2 linked regions of the Caenorhabditis elegans genome follow. The protein of the gene in region 2 purifies or fractionates together with the protein of the main gene of each other region. This does not show direct contact. Each region holds a gene or a part of one and is shown on either strand. Other genes may lie near its edges.

Region 1 (3,423 bases), on a different chromosome or scaffold from region 2:
ATGATTATTAACGTTAAGTGTTGAAGTATTCCGCGTCTTTTTGCTTAAAAAATGTTGAATTTTTGAGGTTTTGCTACCTTTCATTGAGTTCTTCACGCGAAAATCGCTATTTTTCACTATTTTCTAGGTAAAACGCTGGTTTCTAGCGCCTGGAAAATGCTCTTTTTGTTCAGGAAATTCATCAGCAGCGACCCTAGGCGACGTGGATCGTGGTTGGGACCCATTTCCACATTTTTTGAGGATTTTCCTTACCCTTCGCGGTCTGACAATCGAATAAATGCGATCGATGTACTCGAAAATGAGCGCGAACATCTCATCTTCGTTCTTCGGAGCCGGCCTGTCTTCTGGATGGGTGCACGGATGGATAATACCGTTCATATCCAGGTATAGATTATCAAACTCCTGGAAATTCGGATTGGGCTGTGTACAATCTACGGGGACCCGGTTGCCATCCTGGTCTCGCTGACGATCTTCATTGGCATTCACCACGGTTGCCGGATACTTTTTAGTCAACCATCTGAAGAATGCGGGAACTCCCATTCTCGGAGTTTTATTTTCTCTAAATTATCAAATTGCTTTTACGGAAGGAGACGAACGGAGAAAAAGTATTAGACGAATGAAGCGAGGTTAAGCTCGAACATGACGGAGGCCCCGTTCGGGGGATTAATATGTATTAAAAAGAAGTAAAAAAAAAACAAAAAGGCGAATGTAGAACACATATTTATATGTGAAAAATTAACAACATTCAAAAGGATAATTATTCCTTAAGATCTCTCAGTCTTCTGATGGTGGATCTGACGGTAGCGGCGGTGACGGTTCCGTAGACGTAGGCTCCTCCGGCGACGACCTTGTGGCACTTGGCACAGTTCCAGATTCCGGTGGCCTTTCGCTTCATGGCCTCCTTTCCGCAGAACGAGCAGGTGTAGCGGGAGTGCTGTGCGACTTCGAGCTTCTTGGCCATCTTACGGAGGGAAGCACCATAACGGGTTCCGTACTTTCCGACGATTCCGACCTTCTTAGTTCTCTTGGCCATTTCGACTGGATTACCTGAAAAAAAGAAATGAGTGGTTTGCAAAAACAGAAGTAATTAATAGACATAATTTTGAGCGACGGAGCATTGAAAAATCGAAAATATAAACCAATAAAGCCAACTGCATTTTTGGAAGCGAGATAGAAGGATTAAGAAAGGTGAAATGTGTTAACGAGGAATAAAGTAATAAACAAGTTAACCGATTCAGCCTAGTGCGAAAGTGTTTCGAAAAAATACGAAATTTCCAGCAGAATTTCTACCAACAATCTAAATTCTATGTAAAGGACATATATTCATACTTCAAAGTTAAGAAATGTAGAAACGGTAAGAAGACGAGAAGAAAAAGTAACATTATTTTTCAACTGACCGCCAAAGCAGCAAAAAAAAGAAGAAAATTAAGGATATTTGAAGTTTTGAAGCCATGAACCAGAATATTCAGATAATTTAGATCGACAGAAGGATCATTTGTAGACTGATAACGCAGTTCGAGTCCTAATTCTTTTTTAAATCGTCAAACAGAAAAGTGGAGAAAATTTCGACAAATAGGCGGTAAATCAAGGGTTCTACTCGCAAATATTCAAAAATAAGCTTACAATTCAACAATTCTGATGGAAAATATTACTTTTATGAAAAAAAAATCGAAAAATTCAGCAGCAAAAAGGAAAAACGTTCGAAAGAGAAATTGAAATCGGAAAAATGTTGGGCCTAAAATCGCGACGCACTACGGTAGATGCAACGCGTGTCTCAATGGAGCGCGCTTGCACGTTGAGTTTTCTAGTCCCCCAACTTTCGCAATTAATTTTTCGAATGGAATTTCTTAATTTTCTCTTTTTCATCGATAATTCTTTACTTTCGCTTAATCTTTCTTCAATTTTCAAATGAATAATTCAAATATAACACTTAAATTAATATATTTCCATCAGATGGCTTCAACGTCGGCGGCAACTCCGCTGAAGAACAAGCGAAAGTTTGAAAATGGGAAAAAGAAGCCAAAAACGCTGAAAGACGAGTTTGGCGAGAAGCTCGACATCAAACCGGTGATAGTTCCTCCAAAGCCTGCAGACGAGTATGATTATGATTCTTCTGACGAGGAGGTTGGCTTATTTTTCATATTTTAGCATAAAATATATAATTTTTTGTTTAAGGATCTGCGAAACACGATTGGAAACATTCCAATTAAATGGTACGATGATGAGGATCACATTGGATATGACAAGTTTGGAGAGAAAATCGCAAAACCCGCGAAGAAAGGAGAAATCGAGACTTTCCTGGAGAAGATGGAAGATCCAGATTACTGGTAATTATGTGGTTAAAATCAATAAAATAAAGTAATTTTATATTAATTTTTTTAATTTTTTTCAGGCGAAAAGTGTTCGACAAGCAAACTGGCACTGATGTGAAGCTTACCGATGAGCAAATCGAAAAAATCCACAATATCGCGACCGGAAAGTACCCAACAATCGGCTACAACCCATACGAGCCGTTCCTCGACATTTTCTCCTCCCAAAAAGAAATCCATCCAATCGATAATCGTCCAGAACCTAAATCCAGATTTATCCCATCTAAAGATGAAATGCGAATGGTGTCCCGTATGGTCCACGCCATCAAAATGGGCTGGGCTAAGGGGCCGCGAGCCAAGAAGGAAGAGCACAAATCCTATGATCTCTGGGCTTCTGAGGATGCTCTTGACAATGTGACAAAGTCCCAGCTCTCCAGAATGCGTGTGCACATGCCGGCTCCGAAGGTGGCTCTGCCGACGCACGCCGAGTCCTATAACCCGCCGGAGGAGTACATTTTCGACGATGAGGAGCGCAAGAAGTGGGAAGAAGCTGAAAAAGAGGATCGTGTGCTCAACTTCATGCCATCCAAGTATGATGCTCTCCGCAAAGTTCCACAATACGACAAATTCATCACCGAGCGATTCGAGCGATGTCTGGACTTGTACCTGGCGCCACGTCAGCGAAAAATGCGAATCCACGCGGATCCGACGGATTTATTGCCGGATTTGCCGAATCCTAATGATCTACGCCCGTTCCCGACTACTCTTGCTTTTGTAAGGGTTTAAAAGTGTTGAATTTTATTATAATTTTCCCTGAAATTGGAAAAAAAACTCAATTTTTGGTCCAGACTGCTGCAAAAATTCATTGCCCGAAAATTTTAGAAAACAACTTTTTTGCAAATTTTTTTTCTGAAAATCATAAAATTTTTCATACAAAAATTGTCAAAAATTCGCTTCCTTTTGCACTAAAATTACCAGAAACCCCTCTAAAAACCTATAATTCTCAATTTTTAGTTCTTGCAGGCCAGTTTTTCGCTAAAAAAGCCGCATTTTGATTCTATAATTTGGTTTTTAAAGTTTTTCACACAATTGCAAAGAAAACCCGGAAAGTTTA
Region 2 (3,587 bases):
ATGGATTTCAGTGCAAATTAATACAGTAATCTTAAAGGCAGATATTCAAAGCTTTTTAAATCAGTTCACCGCTCGTGTCGAGACCATTACTCTTTAAACTCTTCAAAATCGTAGAAGAGGAAAATAATGGAAAATAACTTCGTTCTTCCAAAAGCAAGTGAATGTGCTTTTCAAAATCTGAACATTTCTAAATACAAAGTTTTGGAAGTGTACTTTTTTACAACCATAATTATATTATAACAAACAGTAATTTTCAGTCAGACACCATTTTCATATTTCTCGATGCTGAAAAATTTGCAACAACTTAGGATAATCCCAAAGAACCGATCCAAATGAGAAAAAATACCATGCCCTATAACCGGTTTCAACTGAACCTAAAATGTCGTGATCGACCTTTCGTCGAATGCATGCCCATTCAACGTTGAGCCGATTTGAGTGCTATTTCAACATGAAATTTTTGATTCTGTCCTTTCTTCTCGTATCAATTTGCTCTGGAGGTGGTGGATTCCCGATTCAAATGTTGACAAAATGTGGAATTTCAAAAGAAACCATTGATGGCGTTCAAAGTGTAATCGACGAACATTCGGTATTTTTAAAACGACTTCTTAGATATTGAAAAATTTTTCAGGCAATGATTAAAATTGCTAACTCGAACAAGCGTGCCAAAAAAACCGAAATCGATTCTTTGAAGGCAGATATTGATTTATATTTAGATGAACATGCATCTGACGACGACAAGGTAGGATTTCTAATCTAAATTTTACATATTTATTTTTTCCAGAAAAGATGGATTGAGTGCTTCACAAAGAACAACTCCTAATTGTCTTGATTTTTCACTTTTTTTTTGAATAAAAAATTTTAACGTGTTGATAAGCTGTAACACTTTATATTCATAACAACAACGTAACAAACGTCATTTATGCGTCAGTCTTTTGGACCTTAGCCTTCTTCACTTGGGAGCGGACGATGGCGGCGGCACGACGTTGAGCGAGCTTGTTGAACTTGTTGAATCCGGCGTTCTTGGCCAAGCGACGGACTGAAGCAACTGGGGTCTTGCTCAAGGTGGAGGTGGTGACGGCCTTGGCTGGTCTTCCCTCTGAGAAAAAACAGTGTAAAAAATAAATTTTTAAAAAATCTCTTACTCTCGTTCTTGGTAGATACAACGACTCCCTTGGCGGCGGCGCTGACGTCGATGGCGTGCTTGTTAGCGAGTCCACTGTATTTTGGGCTGTTCACCTTCTTGAGGTTGAACTTCTCAGTGGAGAATCGCTTTCCGATTCCGCGCTGGGTTCTGAGGAAAGCGCTGTTGTTGCGGATGACTTGCCACACGAGAGCGTCGGACATTTTACCTGGAAATAAATTATTTTATGATGAAAGTTAAATACAATAAGATACAACGGGAAACGTAAGAAAAATTCAATAAAATCAATTGTACACGTAGGTTTTCAAGCAAATTTAAGAATACAATTTTACAAAGTCCTAAATGTCATTTTTCCTGCTCAAACTTTTGACTGAAATGCATAAAAATTCGCTGATAAAAACAAGCAGAATACGCCAAAATAGTTGCAAATTATAAAATTTACAGAATTAATACAAAAAATTCGATATTTTACTCAAAAAAATGGAAAAAAAGAAGAAAAATAAATTAAACTTTCGTTGAGCTGGCCTAAAATCTAATAGCAAGCGCGCTCCATTGCCAAACGGTGTAAACGCGGAGCCTCGTTTGCGTGTAGTTTTTATCGTAAATCGACACAACTTCTTTCAAAATAAATTATTTCTTATGAGTAATTTTCTGCATTCTATTGTTGTGTTTCAATTAATCTTATTTTTAATTTGATTTTATTCAAAATTATATAATTTTATTAAGATGCTGGGTTCTTCTCTCCGCATTTTCTCCCCTCGAGCAGTTTCCAGGTTGTCTTTTTCAACAACTTCAGTCGAAAAAGCTGAGAAACTTTGGGAAAATCCATGGAAACATGCTCTCCCTGAAAAGTGTAAGTTATTTATTATCATATAATTTTTCTACTAGCAATTACAGCCAGAAGTCTTGCAACGGTCGAAGAAGCTCCTATCGATTGGTCGTATGTGGAAAGATTGATGCCAATAGAAGTGGTGCCGAATGTTCCTGAGCACGAAAAGTATCCTACACCAAGCGGATGGACACCACCGACAGGTATATACAGATTAAATTCATACCGCATCGAAATATTTCAGAAGCAGCCAAGACACATCAATACTACATTCGACGTCGTCATGACCATCTTCTTCCTCTTTATTTGGAACGAAAAAGGGATTTACTGAATGAGAAAACGTTGGATTTTGATTATGTCGAGCTAGTAACTATCAGAAACGTCGACGGAGACATTTTTGTAAGTTGGGAACATTATTAAATCCTGAATCAACATAAATATCTTTCAGGCTTGCGAAAATGATCTCCGCTCCTATCTTGAAGAACATCTTGGACATTCGATCGCCAGTCACGTCGATGAGTTGAAAGGTCGTATCAAAATTAAAGGAGCTCCACGTGTTCTTATTGAGCAATTCTTCTACAGCAAAGGATTCTAGATGTATTCTTGATATATCTTTTAGTTTTTTATCTAGGCAGATTTGTTTTGTTGTGAATTTATTGTTGGAGAATGAACTAGAAAAATTCAATTGTCTACTTTATCATTTTTACCTTCAAACCGGTTATTTCACCGTCATTTCCTTATTCTCTTCATTTTGTATCATTGCGAAATGCCGAAATTCTTCTCTAGAATGCCTTCCTCAATTTGTTGCACAAACTGCAGAACTAAATATTCATTATTAAACAGAGAAGTTATTTTCTGGCATCAAAAACTAATTAATTTCTATTTTTTCAGGCCGGCTGCTCGAATTGTGCTCTCTCCTTCTGTAAGAAATGTCTGCCTCATCGTGCAATTATTCCCACACTTTCGGATTTACCAATGATTGTCTGTAACAATTGCTATCAAAAATTGGAATCTGCCAAAATGAAGCCCAGCGCGACTGTAAGAAAAAGAACAAAGTAAAAACTAAATAGATATTAATCCCACGATTTTTTTCAGATAACATCAACGCCTCTACCAGATAATTCGAATAAATCGAATAAAAATTGGTGGGGTGATGGACTTCCACCGCCATCATTCAGGAATTCGCACACAAATCAAAATCAGATTAAAAATAGTGAAGTCAAAGCAACTAAATTCAGGAATTCGCCAGAAATTCCATCGCAGCAGACCAAGGTAATTAGCGTCACGGAATTTTCTTAATTTATTTTTCAGTTTTCAGCCAAATTATCCGACCAATGACCTGGAACAGCGAAGACTTAAACTGCGAGAAGATATTTCACCACAAATTGAACCACTCAGTATATCAGAAATTGAAGAACGATTAGCAAAACTTCGAGAATGTGATGTAGAAGTGATACGTAATCCTCAAAGTGTAAGTTGGACAAGGATGTTTTTAATTAAAAATGTGTCTTAAATATAGAAAATTACTTGATTCATCTGAAAATATAATTTTTTCAGTTGAAAATTTAAAAAAAAGTGTTTAAAATGACCTTAAAGTTACAAATTGCAGATAATCAA

Evidence for each region. Proteins that work in one complex are often made in the same cells at the same time.
Region 1: the proteins of rpl-28 (region 2) and rpl-37A fractionate together in Caenorhabditis elegans (co-fractionation; one large-scale study listed by BioGRID). This does not show direct contact.

The regions. Positions count from the first base shown.
Region 1 is NC_003280.10:14,152,904-14,156,326, reverse strand, and holds rpl-37A (Large ribosomal subunit protein eL43), read right to left. Parts: upstream 1,034-3,423; coding exon 758-1,033; downstream 1-757. Other genes in the region: xrn-2 (5'-3' exoribonuclease 2 homolog), read right to left, coding at 253-540; bop-1 (Ribosome biogenesis protein BOP1 homolog), read left to right, coding at 1,954-2,124, 2,176-2,327, 2,393-3,083.
Region 2 is NC_003283.11:12,726,764-12,730,350, forward strand, and holds rpl-28 (Large ribosomal subunit protein eL28), read right to left. Parts: upstream 1,350-3,587; 5' UTR 1,345-1,349; coding exon 1,143-1,344; intron 1,097-1,142; coding exon 918-1,096; 3' UTR 872-917; downstream 1-871. Other genes in the region: R11D1.13 (DUF148 domain-containing protein), read left to right, coding at 449-586, 629-739, 782-820; mrpl-49 (Large ribosomal subunit protein mL49), read left to right, coding at 1,868-1,994, 2,039-2,173, 2,215-2,369, 2,419-2,565; zfyv-19 (FYVE-type domain-containing protein), read left to right, coding at 2,758-2,817, 2,862-3,008, 3,066-3,242, 3,289-3,441.